2 linked regions of the Stegostoma tigrinum genome follow. The protein of the gene in region 2 purifies or fractionates together with the protein of the main gene of each other region. This does not show direct contact. Links are inferred from orthologs where the notes say so. Each region holds a gene or a part of one and is shown on either strand. Other genes may lie near its edges.

What was found. The genes of interacting proteins can lie anywhere in the genome.
Region 1: the proteins of pan2 (region 2) and pan3 purify together in Homo sapiens (co-immunoprecipitation; 5 studies listed by BioGRID and IntAct, with this or other methods). This does not show direct contact. The link is inferred for Stegostoma tigrinum from reciprocal best matches to the Homo sapiens genes PAN2 and PAN3.

Annotation. Positions count from the first base shown.
Region 1 is NC_081359.1:78,818,022-78,825,187, forward strand, and holds the start of pan3 (PAN2-PAN3 deadenylation complex subunit PAN3), read left to right. Parts: upstream 1-4,159; 5' UTR 4,160-4,604; coding exon 4,605-4,959; intron 4,960-7,166. UniProt on the Homo sapiens protein: Regulatory subunit of the poly(A)-nuclease (PAN) deadenylation complex, one of two cytoplasmic mRNA deadenylases involved in general and miRNA-mediated mRNA turnover.
Region 2 is NC_081404.1:18,294,992-18,302,606, forward strand, and holds the start of pan2 (PAN2-PAN3 deadenylation complex catalytic subunit PAN2), read left to right. Parts: upstream 1-4,596; 5' UTR 4,597-4,672; exon of another isoform or gene 4,673-4,747; intron 4,748-6,245; 5' UTR 6,246-6,291; intron 6,292-6,871; 5' UTR 6,872-6,879; coding exon 6,880-7,191; intron 7,192-7,615. UniProt on the Homo sapiens protein: Catalytic subunit of the poly(A)-nuclease (PAN) deadenylation complex, one of two cytoplasmic mRNA deadenylases involved in general and miRNA-mediated mRNA turnover.

The sequences.
Region 1 (7,166 bases), on a different chromosome or scaffold from region 2:
TGGGTCAAATCATAATCTGTGCCTATATAATAGTTTTATACAGTTTGTGCATTTGACAAAGTGTAACATTCCATTTTTACAAAAAAAAGCCTGCTGTAATTAATAAATAAGTTTGAGCATTCGCTTCTTGATCTTTGGAAGTGTCTGCATTTCCTCTTTTTGTTTCATTGCTCACCAGTCATGACATCAAAAAATTTCCCTACAACAAATTTGAGAATAATTGTCTCATCACAATACTACAGCAAAACAAAACTCAGAATATTGCTGCTGTTTTACCTAGAGACAAACATCAGATAGGTATTCATTTAAATATAAATTTTGACTCTTACACATCCTCAGGAATAAAATGGCAGAAAGATTTCAAAACAAAAGATTCAACTCTGTTTCCAGCAGTGCAAATATAGAGGTACCTAGGTCTTTAAAGCATGTCACTCAAATTAAATAATCTGACAATATTTTTGGCAAAAGTGGACTAGAAACAACTAATAGAAAATGAATTAGTGTTAGAAAACTGGGAGTTACTCAAGGAGGAGATAGAGAAGGTTAAGAATAAATATGCTCCTAGAAAGCAAAAAAGCAAAACTTCTAAATTTAGACACATCTGTTAAGAGACTTAGTAGGATAAGCCAAGAAAGTAAAGATTGTGTGTTAAAACTGCTGATTTTCTTGACATATATTAATTACCTAGACTTTGGTGTACACAGTGTGATTTCAAAATCTGCAGGTGATATTGTATAATTGAGTCTTTTTTAAACAATTTTTGTACTTTAGTTAAGTGCAATGATTATGCAAGAAAAATTATATTAGAGATCTACAGCAGAGAAAAGTTCTTTTGGACCATTTAGATATTATGGTGATTAATTGTGGTCAATATAAGGGAAGAGTCTTATACTTTTGTATGCAGCAGTATGCTGCTGGGTAAGATTTAGCCTGAGACAACAGAGTGCCATTTTTTTAAGGCTTGCTGTGAATGCACTTTGAAACAAAACAGCTGTAGATTTCAATACGCAGTCATTACTTAGCTTTAAAGTTACAAAGTGCCTTAAACAGAAACAGTCACTTTGCTTTAAAGTATGTAATATGCATGGAATAGGGGAATATGGACCTCACAGAGGCAAAAAGTGTTGAGTTTAGAAGGCATCATCTGTTCATGCACAATTATTGAGCTCAGATTTAATTCTTGGCAACATAACCCTAATCCTCTGAAGAACAAAGGGAGATGGTACTGCCCTTTCAAAGTGACATTTGTGTTAACTTGTTCCAAGAACCAGCAGTCACTGTGAAGTTACTTATTAACAAATGGCTCCTGAACTCTCCAGATACTCAGGTGTACCAATTAAATATTTCAGATGATGATGATCCTGTAGTATGTTATTGTAGAATTACAGTTCACAACAAACAACTACACCTCCCAGTCGTGAACCATTTCAACTAACCACCCCCCCCCACCAACTCCTTGGATGACATGTCCATCCTGGGCCTCCTGCATTGCCACAATGACGCCATCCGAAAGATGCAGGAACAGCATCTCATATTTCGCTTGCGAACCCTGCAGTCCAAGGTTATCAATGTGTATTTCACAAACTTCAAAATCTCCCCTGCCCCGACCACATCCCAAAACTAGCCCAGCTAGTCCCCGCCTCCCTAACCATTCCTCCCACCTCAAGCCCCACCCCCATCTCCTACCCACTAACCTCATCCCACCTCCTTGACCTGTCCTTCGTTCCTGGACTGACCTATCCCCTCCCTAACTCCCCACCTACATTCACCTGCACTGGCTCTGACCCAGCCTCTTTGACCTATCTGTCTCCTCTCACCCTATCTTCTCCTTTATCCATCTTCTATCCGCCTCACCAACTCTCCCTACTTATTTCAGAATCCCCTTCCCCTCTCCCATTTCTGAAGAAGGGTCTCGACCCAAAACATCAAACTTTCTTGTTCCTCTGATGCTGCTTGGCCTGCTGTGTTCATCCAGCTTCACACCGTATGTTATTGTATGAGAGCTATAAATTCAGTAATCTAATGGGGAAAGGATGCTGGTAACGAACACAGAATCATAGAATCTATACAGTGCAGAAAGAAGCCATTTGGCCCATCCAGTCTGCACTGACCCTCTGAAGAGCATCCCACCCAGACTGTGAGACTTTGCATTTACCATGACCATACCTCATCTCTGGACACCCTGAGTAATTTAGCATAGTCAATCCAACTGACCTACACATCTTTGGACTGGGGGAGAAAACCAGGTCACCTGGAAGAATCTCATGCAGACACAGGTAGAATGTATAAACTCCATACAGACGAAGATGGAATCGAACCCAGGTCCCTGGCACTGTGTGGCAGCAGTGCTAACCTCTGATCCACCATATATAGATATCTTCAGGAAACAGTCAGGAGATAACAGGGAGGTGATATCAGTAACAATGACTATCACCGTTAAGAATAAAACAAAGAACTGTTGATCAGAAGCAAACAAAAACAAGTTGCTGCAGAAATTCAGCAAGTCTCTGACATTACAAGGAATGAGGATTTTAGTTAAGAGAAAAGGGTATAAATATTGGAACAAAAACAGAGAACATTGGAAATAGCCAGCAAATTTAGCAGCATTTGTGGAAAAAAAAGTTAATTCTTCAGGTCAAAACTAGGGTTACTTCTTTGGATCAGATGTGGCTAAGAAGTTATTTAGTTGAGGTATATAAAATTATCAAGTGTGTAGACAGAATGATAAAAAGCTATCCCCTCCCCACCTACACTCTCTCCACCTATCTTCTTTACTCTCCATCTTCGGTCCGCCTGCCCCTCTCTCCCTATTTATTCCAGTTCCCTCCCCCCATCCCCCTCTCTGATGAAGGGTCTAGGCCCGAAACGTCAGCTTTTGTGCTCCTGAGATGCTGCTTGGCCTGCTGTGTTCATCCAGCCTCACATTTTATTATCTATGATAAAAAGCTATTTCTGTTAACAGAGTTTTAATGAGGATGTGAGATACATTTTAAGTAAAGGTATAGGTGGGGTGTTATGAATTTTTTTCACTTTTGAGTATGGTGCAGATTGAGAACTTTGAAAAGGTGACACTGTCAGAAATTCTCATCTGGTTTAATAATAATCGGAAATGCACTTTGAGAGCTACAGACTAACAGCTGGAAAATGAGATTAGGTGGATATTTGTCTATGGATATTTCTATCTTCTTTCTAATGTAGGATGCTTATTTCAAAATTCAGCAACATTTCATTCATAGACTTGGGTTTTTAATTTGATTTTTCTCATTTTTAAATTAACGTACTTTCCTATGTATCCACTGTGATCTTTTTAAAATCAGAAATACTTTCTTCAGCATTAGCTAGACTTCAGGAACAACACCTAAATTTTGTAAAGGCTACCCTTTATATTCATTCTTAAGCAATTGTTTAAGAAGCAGGAGCAAGCATCTACCATAAAGTAATTGACTTTGGATTTGAAATGAATAACACCAATAAGCCTTCAAGTGAAGGATTTCACACTTTAGTTGCAATAACTAGTATAGTAATTATCATGGAGTCATAACATGGTTACTGCATCGTAGGTCATTTGGCCTGTTTGGTTACGGTCCTTCCTGGAATAGCAATTCACCTACCCTGCATCCTTGGTCTTTTCCCCACAGTCCTGTTATTATTTCTCCCCTTTCAGATTATTGCCCAATTATCTTTCGAAAGCCACGAATCTCTCTCCACCTCTGGCAATGCATTCCAGGCCCTAACCACTTGCTGGATTAACCAAAAAAAGGTTCATTTTGCCAATCATCCAGAATTGGTGCCCTCTGATTCTCCATCTTTCCCTTAACCGTAACAGCTTGTCTCTATCTGGTCTGTCCTGGTCCCCGAACAACCGCTGGGCTTCAAACGCCTCCATTTTACATCGTGCTCTTCTTTGTTTGCATACGAGGTGGTGGGGGTGGGGAGGGTAGGGAGAAACACAGCAGTGATAACAATAATCGATCGAGATGGAGACGGAAAACACCGTTAAGGATACGATCAGCAGGTGCACGCATTAACTTTGGCGGTGTGGAGGGAAGAAAAAGTGAAAGAAGCAGCAGCTGATAGCAACGCCCCCTCCCTCTTCACCATTTGTTTTGATTCCTTGGGTGCGAATGCGCCAGGGTTGCGCATGCGCACAAGGCGCCAGCTGGCTGCTCGGCGGAGGCCGCTTCCAGCCGGAAAAAAACAAGGAGCGGGGTGGGGGGGGAGGAAGGAGAGAGGAAAACTTGTAGCTGTGGTCAAAGCAGCTCCCGCCATCGGCAGAAATAAATATCACCGCTGGGGAGCCTGAGCCTGATCCGATTTAGCCATCCTCCGTCTTTTTATTTTCGCTCCGATCGATTGACGGAGGCCGGTGCATCGGAGCTTGTGTGTGTGTGTGTTTTTTTCCGCACCCACCCGCCCGCTCCTTTTCCTTCCAATGTTGTTGTTCTTCTCCGCCTCGGCTCACGGATTTGAATTGTGGGAGAAGCAGGGAGGCCGGAGCCGGATCTGCACTCGCGGCGGCTCTGCCTCCTCGCCGGCCGTGCGTGCAGTGGCCGCCGCCGTTTGAAAAGGTGGCTTACTCCAGCCTTTTCCCGCCTCCGCCTACCATGAACGGTGGTGGTGGTGGTGGTGGTGGCGGCGGCGGGCCACTGCCGGGCGGAGGCTCCAAGGTGAAGTACTGCCGTTACTACGCTAAGGACAAGACCTGTTTCTACGGCGACGAGTGTCAGTTCCTGCACGAGGATCCCAACAATGGCGCCGCTTCCGCGAGCCTCGGTCTTGTCGTCAATAAAAACCACCCGGGACTGGCAGTCGGGACGGCCGTGGCTGCGCCGGGAGCCGGAGGAGGAGCTGCTGGCGGAGGAGGGAGCGGCGGCAGTGCCGCCGGGGGAGGATACCCACACGGAGGGCCCAAGAAAAACGAACTCGGCAGCCTGGTGGAGCCTGGGCAGCTGCTCACCAGTGAGTGTGATGTTGGATATGTTTCAGTGCCGTATATTAAACTAGTCCCGAAGGTGCCGCGTATCGAAGGAGACGCTGTTGCGCGATGCAAATATATTCAGTGTCTTTTTTTTAAACACACGCTCACTCCTGTAGAGGAAACGGCGGTTTGCTTGTCAAGTGCACCCGGAAGAGTAGGGTAGACATGCCTCTATTATCGTTGATCGATCTTTACCATTACATATGTCCTGAAGAGTGATTTGTCATTGGATATACATGCTTTCTAAAGTGAAAAATGTGTAATGTTAGCTTTGGGAGACTTGAAGAACACGCCTTGTTGATCCGCATGAGGCAGAACTACCAAGTAAACAACAGATGTAGGTTTTTCTTTGGTGTAGTTGATTCACAATTGACCTGTTGTTTATTCTGAAGTTTAATGGATTGAGGTATAGGTTCTAAATATGCTGAACAGCTTTGATACTTTAAAAGTTGAGAGGCTTCAAGGAATAGGTATCTCAACCTACACTTATTTGGTCACTTTTTAATGAAAAATAAAATCCTGTGGCATTTCAGTGAAGTGCGACTGAACAGACTTTCTCCCAATAAGGGAGATTTGCTGAGATTACCAAAAACCAAATCAGATATGGGTTTGGGGACACATAGCTGTAGGATAACCATCAGTGATGGAACAAAAGTAAATTGGGAGTGTATGGTAAACATAAATGGTTGGAATCAGCTTGGCAATTTTCTTTTTAACTAATTTGTTTATCTCTGATTATGTCTGGCCAAAGGTGCTCCCAGGAAGGCAGGGATAACCTGAAAAGTTAACTTTTAATATAACCTGATCTCAATGCTGTAGTATACTGCACATGATATGGTGCTCTCATGTTATTTTTTTACTTGGATAAATCCGGTATTTTTCTGATGAATTAGATTTCAATTAGTTGAATTGATTCATGATCGTTAGGAAATAATAACAAATACATGTATGCCTTAAATGAAAGTAAGGCATAAGCTGATCAAAGGAATAAGGTACAATAAGCTCAGTGATAAAGTTACTGATCATATCAATTTAAAGTATCTTAGATGGAAAATCAGAGCTGGAGTTTTCTGTTCGTTCCTCAAGTTTGTACCGTTATCCAATTCAGTTATGTTGACTGTGTATCTATTCCAATAACATGCAGCTGACTCATGTACATCCTTGCTAATAAAAAAAACCTGTTGACCTCAATCTTAACTTTTAATTTAGTTGAGAATCCACAAGCTTTTGATGGAGAAGATTCCACATTTCTGGGAAACGTTGCATGGAAGAACAGTTTCCTTGTTTTGTTTTTAATGATGCAGCTCTAATTTTATTGAAGATGCCCACTTTTCTGGATTCTTTGCCAGCGGAACTAGTTTCTCTGTACTCTATCAATTAACTTATTATTTTAACTACCACAGTTTGATTGCCCCTCAACCATCTACCATAGGTAGTGCTCGAAGCAAACAGTACAGATATATTTAAGGGGAAATTTGTCAAGATTCTAAAGGAGATGAGTGTTATGGCAGTAAACTCAAAAACAAATTTGCTGGAAAACCTCAGCAGGTCTGGCAGCTCCTGTGAAGGAAGAAAACAGTGAACGTTTCGGGTCCACTAACCCTTCCTCGGACCTGCTGAGCTTTTCCACCAACTTTGTTTTTGTTCCTGATTTACAGCATCCGCAGTTCTTTCGGTTTTCATTTGTTATGATAGTAGATTTGGATAAGCAAAGATTGGAGGGGACTGAAACAGTGTTTAAACATTGACATGGACTTGTGGAATGAATGACATGTTTAAGTGCTTTTCTTCTATTCCCTATTTTGAAGTTAGGTTAAGCTATAGTTGTGCAGCTCTGTTAATTTAATTCTTTTGACAACATCATGGTAAATTTGGTGCTTTCCAAAGTTGTCATGTTTCTTAACGTCTGCTGCCCACACTGAATAGAGTACTCAAGAAAGGGTATGACCATTTCTGTATAACTGAAACTTAACTTGCCTTTTTTCCCAACTCCTTGAAATATGGGTCTGCACACTCTACAGGAGGCTTTTGCCAATGTTCACTATTACTGTTACAGTGAGGACCTGGGGGAGCACCTTCAGGAAATTAAAGGTGATATCATTCTGGAGAGATGAGATTTAAAGCAGAGAATTTGTCAAACCTATAGTATCTTAATCAAAGATGATGAGAGGCTATTGAAACGTTTAAG
Region 2 (7,615 bases):
GGCCCGAAACGTCAGCTTTTGTGCTCCTGAGATGCTGCTTGGCCTGCTGTGTTCATCCAGCCTCACATTTTATTATCTTGGAATCTCCAGCATCTGCAGTTCCCATTATCTCTTTTAGTAGAGATGTTGGCCTTCCAAAGCTGTAGGTTTTCTGCTTAGGCCTGCAACCTCAGGAATCTGCCCAACATAGATCATTGGGGACAGGCTCTTTTTTAAAAATTCACTTGTGGAATGTGGGTATCACTGGGTGGGCCAGCATTTATTGCCTGTTCCTACTTTTCCTATTCATCTCCAATGAAGAATGTTTTCAAGGTGGGAAGATGCTCCAAAAATTCGAATGGCAATAGTGGTTGAATGTGGGACAGTAGCTGTTCAACTAACTTTTGGAAAACGACGTTCAATTCGGTTTATTGAAAATCCCAATGTTATTCCCCCATCCCCCTTTTTTGGATTAAAAATCTACTAAAACCCCCACTACAAATGTGACAAATCAGAATGAATTGTCTTTAAAACTCACAATTTCACAGGGGGCATTTCAGAGACCAGAAACACAGGACCTAATTTGTGTTTTCAAAATTTGAAATCCCCTTCAAGTTTTCATGTCCTTAAATAACCTGTCACAACAGAGAACATTCCAGGGTGCTTGACAACCAATGAAGTACATTTGGAAGTGCTGTCACTATATAAAGTAGGAAATGTGGCAATCGTATTGTGCAAAGCAAGCTCCCACTTACAGCAGTGAGGTAATAATCTATTTAAGTGATGCTGATTGAGGGATAAATGTTGCTCAGGATACCAAAAGAACTGTCCTCTTCTTGAAGTAGTCCACTTGAAAAGGGTATCTCGGGCTTTGGTGTAACTCTTGTCTGAAAGGTGGTAGCTCAACACTGCTGCAAGGTGTCAGCCAAGATTATTTCCAATTTACATTTTCTTTTCGTTCACAAGTACAGGAATGACTACACTTAAAGCATAAATTATGTGTAATTGCTTTGTGTCATGTGTTTGTAATCTCAGCTGTTCATGACTTTGCATTTTATAAGGGGATTAGTCAAGAACACAAGAAATAGAAGCAGAAGTAGGTCATTTTACCCTTCAAGCCTGCTGCACCATTCAATAGGATCATAGCTGATTTAATTGTGGCCTCCAGCTACCTGTTTGCCCTGCCTTAACTGACCTGTCAACCAAAAATCTATTCAACTGTTAAATATATTTAATGACGCAACCACTACTGTGGAAAAGCCATTCTCTGCGGAATAGAATTCCACAAATGATCTTTTGTAAAAAATATGATCTGATTTCAATTTTAAATGGGAGAATCCTCATTTTTAAAAACCAAAGGAACTGCGGATGCTGTAAATCAGATACAAAAACAGAAGTTGCTGGAAAAGCTCGGCAGGTCTGGCAGCATCTGTGAAGAGAAATCAGAGTTAACGTTTCGAGTCGATTGACAGTTCGGAGGAAGGATCACCGGACCCGAAACATTAACTCTGATTTCTCTTCACAGATGCTGCTGGACCTGTTGACTTTTTTTCCAGCAACTTCTGTTTTTGTTCATTTTTAAACCGTGCCCACTAGTTCTCGACTCCCCTGAGAAGGGGAAACATCCTTTCAGCATCCACCCTGTCAATAGTTAGCTCAGTTGGCTGGATGGCAGGTTTGTGATACAGAGTGATGATAACAGCTTAGGTTCAATCCCCACACTGGCTGCAGATTTCAAGGACACTCCTTTGCAACATCTCCTCTTGCCCTAGGTGTGGTGACCCTCAGGTTAAGCCACCACTAGTTGTCTCTCTCTCTAATCGGAGAACCTGTGTCATCAGTAAATTTAGTGACTCAGTCCTTTCAACCAAATGGTATCGACTGTAAATAGTTGAGGCCCCCACTCATCCCTGTAGCACTCCACTAATCATTGCTTATCAACCTAAAAATAAGCCGTTTCTGCTTCCTATTTACAAACTGATCTCTCTTGACTTTGCTCAGGAGACAACAGCCAGACCCAAGTTGGAAGCACTCCAAGCTCAGGCGTATTTGGAGAGACAGCGAGAGCCAGCGAGAGAGAGAGAGAGAGAAAGAGAGAAAAGAGAGGGAGCAACAATAGTGAGAGGGGATGCCACTGTTAAGGAATCAGACTGGAGTTTTTGCAGTCATTGAAGTGACTACAGGACAGTATGTTGCCTCCCTCGTGTCAAAGTAAATGGATGTTACAGAGAAACTGCAGGGGAGGGTGAGGTCATGCCCATATTGACATCAATGACTTATGTAGGAATAGGAATGAGGTCCTGAAAGCAGATTTCAAGGAGCTATGTGAGAGACTGAAAGGCATGTGGTCTCAGGATTGCTTCCAGTCCCTTCTGCCAATGATCTTACAAATAGGAGAATTAAATGGGATTAGATTACACAGTTAGTTTACTCAGCCAGCGAAGACATGCTGAGCTGAATGTCCCCTTTCTGTGTTGTAATGTTTCTATGTAAGCACCAGAGACCCGGGTTTGATTCCAGCTTTGGGTGACTGTGTGGAGTTTGCACGTTCTTCCCATGTCTGTGTGGGTTTCCACCATGTGCTCCAGTTTCCTTCCACAGTCCAAAGATGTGCAGGTTAGATGGATTGGCAAGGCTAAATTGTCCGTAGTGTCCAGGGATGTGCAGGCTAGATGGGTTAGCCATTCGGCCTATTGAGTCATGCTCCACTAGGTCCTGATAAATCCTGAACTCCACTTTCATGCCTTTTCCCCATTACCCAAGGGTCTAGGCCCGAAACGTCAGCTTTTGTGCTCCTGAGATGCTGCTTGGCCTGCTGTGTTCATCCAGCTCCACACTTTGTTATCTCAGATTCTCCAGCATCTGCAGTTCCCATTACCCTTGATTCTCTTACTGATTACAAATTTGTCTATTTCAGCCATGAATCTACTTAATAAACCAGCTTCTACAGCTATTTGTAGTAAAGAGTTCCACCAGATTCACTACTCTGTGGCTAGTTGTGGTGGTGCAGTGGCTATGTTGCCAAGTAAGCAAACCTTGAGCTCTGGTTCAAATTCTGGTGCAAAATCCAATCTGGGGATTAAAATCACATAATTAAGAAGGTGCCTAGGCTAAATGAGTTAAAGCGTCTGTCTTGTAACCAGGAGATTCGGACTTTGAATTTCTGTGGTACATTTCAGCCCAAAGGGCTTTTAAATTAACCTCCGAGCCAGGAGCCCTGAGTTCAAGTCCCACCTGCTCCAGCTGTGAGTAATGGCATCTTTGAACAGGTTGATTAGGACAAAAATATCATTAAATACCCTCAAAGAAGAAATTCCTCCTAATTTCTGTCTTAAAGGCATGATCCATTACTCTGACATTGCACTCTCTGGATCTGGACTTTTCCTCTAAAGGAAATAACTTTCCTATATCTACCCTGTCAAACTCCCCTAAGAATTTTGTATGTTTCAATAAGATTATTTCTCACATGTCTCAATTCCAATGAATGTTGACCTAACCTACTCAACTCTGCTTATGAGAAAATCCCCCCCACCATGCCTGGGATCAACCTAGTGTACCTTCTCTGTCTCCAGTGCAAGAATATCATTTTTCCCATTATTCATTTTTTTGTTACTTCTTCAAAGAATTCTGATAAACTAGTCAAAACATTTACAAGCTTTAAGTTGACATGTTTGTTTTAGCCAAGTCCAAAATGAGTTTCAGTATTTGAAAGATGGATAGAGTTGTGAAATAGTTTATATGCAATAATGAACTACCCCTTCATTCAAACATAAAACAGAAATTGAAGAAACTCAGCAGGTCTGGCAGCATCTGTGGAAAGAAAACAGAGCTAATGTTTTGAGTCTGGTGTAACTCCTTCAGCCCTTTCATTCCTCCATCAAAAGCCCCAATTTATGACACATTATGTGTAATACTTTTACACTGGTAACTTTCTACACGTACGCATACTGTTTTGTTAAAATTCAACTTTGCATAAACACCAGAGATGGTAGGTGAAGGGTCATTTGCTGAAGAAGGGTCTAGGCCCGAAACGTCAGCCTTCCTGCTCCTCTGATGCTACTTGGCCTGTTGCGTTCATCCAGCTCTACATCTTGTTATCTTTGTATAACACCAAGCAGCTTTAAAACTGTACCTCGAACTGTGCGTAGTATTGCGAACTCTGGTTGTACATATTGCTGCATATTACCACGTGAAACTTGTCCCCAAGTAACTTCCATAAACTGCATTTTTGACTCATTCTTTCCCCTCTCCAATAATAATTGAAAATATTCATTTTTTAAAAGCTTTTATTCCAAGCAGCAGCGAACCGACGATTCAACTTTAATTCCGGGAGATCTGGCAACAATAATATTACCCTATCATGAACCATGCTGAGGAGCAAAAATACAGGGATTGGGGAAACGGAGAAAATGAAGTAACTTTCCTACCATTGTACCTCAAACCCGAAATTCAATTACAAAGTGTCGCAAATAAACGATAAGAAGATTCTGCAACTTTCTTTTACCACTTGCCTCGCTCGTCATGTTCTTCCCGGATTTAGTTTCGACTTTTACTTCGGTTGCGGTGCTGAGCAGCACCCGTAGATGACTGAGCAACCCCGCCTCCAGGGGTCAGTGATTGGGTGCAACGTTTGTCCATCAGACTAATACTATTGCAGTGGATTGTGGGAAATAGGCTTTGTTGTTACGCTTTTGTGAGTTGCTTTAATGATAGTTGGTTATGTTTTTGTGTTTAATGTGATACGATAAATGGTAAAAAGGAAGTGCTGGTAGGTTCAATATCCAGTACGTGATAAGTTGGCCATGTAACTAGAGTTTAATACGAAGTAACAGGAAAAATCAATCAGCGATGCTGGCTGGGCCTGGTTGACGTTTTCCCTCAAACCTTTGCCTTAACCATCATCTCTGGCTGCTTAATATTGTCGAAATGACAGCCGGGCGATAATTGTTTGAGATTATGAATGAAAAAAATAGAAAACAGCACAAATTACAGCAAATTAACTAAGCCAACTTTCGCGCGAAAGAGACTGCCTTTCACCTGTGCCAGTCCAGTGTGAAATACTAGAATGGCTAGAAGACTTAATAAAAACGTTGGAGATCAGTGAAAAGTTTGATCTACTAAGTTAAAGTTTATGGTATCTTTTACATTGTTGGTTGCCCTTTTCTTTGCCCATGGTGTGTGTTACTCGTGAATCCGCTTTTAGGAAATGCATAAAATAGCTTAGGGATAGTAAGAACTGCCGATGCTGGATGAACACAGCAGGCCCGGCAGCATCAGAGGAGCAGGAAAGCTGAAGTTTCGGGGGAAATACTGTTCTGATGCTGCCTGGCTTGTTGCGTTCCTCCAGCTCCATACTGTGTCATCTCAGAAAATAGCTTAGTTTGCTGCACACACTATTTTGTTACTTATTGATTTTTGGGTTTATATGTTCTTCCTAATACCATGCCATGAATTATTATTTGATTCATTCTACATAAACACTTTACAACATCAGGAACGTGGGGTCCTGGATAAACAGGCGTATCATTTGATTTATGCCATTCCATTCTACAAAACCTGTCGTCAACATGGCCTTTGTGTTGCCTACCATAAAGTTTCATTTGGAATGTGAAAATTTCGAGTAGACAGGAGTTTCAGCTACAGGGAATTTCCTTTAATCTGTTTTTACTTGGGGCATCTAGTCTGTCCATTGCAGTATTGATGAAAATTTTATTAAGAGATGGTATTGTTAAATGCATTGGGATGTCATTAAGTTCTTACTGCTTAAGTTGCAATTTTAGTAATGGGCATTTGGGAAAGAGAGAACAACCCATTCTAAATCAGTGTAATGTAATCTCAACCACTGGTTTTATGTCCTACTGTGAGACTTGAATTTCCAGTAACTTTTATGTTGTTGATCGTCTACCTATTGCATTAAAAAGAGAAACATTGGTCAGGATTCCCACTGCTGCTCGCTATCCAATCATAACTGCTGGAAGTAGGCATGTTGGTTGCAGACAATGGTTATGATGCCCTGCAGAATTAAATTGCTTGCCAGTATTTACTATCCCAAAAGGGTTGTGTCCACTTGGATTAGGGGCCATCTGGTGCCCAGTGAAGGATCAATGTCTTTTCAAAAAGATATTACGGAATTTGTGATTTACCATAAGTTGGAGAAATCCTCAGCATTGTTCGGAAAAGTGCTTCCACCAAGATGGGTTGGATATGACTAATTAAAAATAGGTGATAATTTTGAATGACTGATGTTTTCTTTGCATTATTTGTAGCTTTGATGTCATAAATAAATGGAAGATTGGACTTTAGAAATCAATGGTAAGTGTAAGTCAAATGTTTTTTGCGTTGTATTTAGTTTAATAATTGGATAACAGTGCTGGAGTCATTACAAAAAGGCAGGTTGTTGTGTGCTCCAGTTACATTGATATTTGAGGATTGGTTGAATCCCAACCTGCATTGTGCTTGAGGCACTGGGCCTATTATTTTACGTCGTACACCATTGGAGTTTGGAAGGGGTTTTGTGATTTTATTCGAATTTTATTCTGTGCGTTTTCATTATGGACCTCAGGCTTCCGTGTTCTGTGGTATAATTGTGCATTAATTTAGAATTTTGTAGAATGTTTTTCTGCACATTGCAGGGTAGCTAGCAACCGCTTGTGTTCATGTAAGAATTTTTAAAAATGCCTCCTGCTCCCTGGTAGAGGCGTGACTAGTGTAATCTTCAAATGGTACGTACATAATGTAATAATAGAGGGGATAGGATGTTTTCAATTGGGGCAATAAACTGGAAGTAATATTTATTTTTGCCTACATGTTTTGGTTAATATACATTTGAATAACTGCTGTCTAAATTCAAATATATTTCTCTTCCATGTACCTCTATTCTTTTTATCCCTAGAATAAACCATGAATTTTGATGGCCTTGATTCTGGCCTGGGGGAATACTCACCATCCCTGCATCCTGGCATTGACACTTCCCTTGACAATTCAATTGAGCATTCCCTGGACCCAAGGCTGGACCCAAACTTACTGCAGAATGTGGAACTGGAAACTGATGGTGTCCAGCTGGATGGCATGCCAGTCTCAGTGTCTGAATCTGTACACCTTGTGGAGGGAATGTATTCAGCGCTGCATAGGGTTGTTGCAGAAGTCGGAGTCCCTATAACCGCCTCACATTTTGACGTTCAAGATGAATTGCTCTGGGTGGGAAATCATGGGGTAAGTGTAGTACATTAACTTCCAACCAAGTAAGCTAATGGGTCTCAATTCTAGTACAGAAACCTTTGGATATACCAGTGGATAAGTAATTGGCATGTTGTACTTGTACAGCTTACAGGTCTCTTGATATGGCTGGGATGATGATTTGTTGATGAGTCCTAACCCAGTGATGTTGCAACTTGACTTGTAAATTTTTCAGTATAATGAAAAGGTTGAGTTTGAAGTTAGTTGTTAGGTGTTTCTGTTTAATATACTCAGTATGATCAGACATAGACCTGTTTTTCTAATCAACCTGTTCAGAGATGGTATTACACATCTCTGGAGCAGCTGAGACTTTGAACCCTGCCTCTTGGTTCAGGGAAAAGGGTACTGCCACGGCACTACAAGAGGACCCTTATGAGCAGATTTAGATTTTACAGTGTTA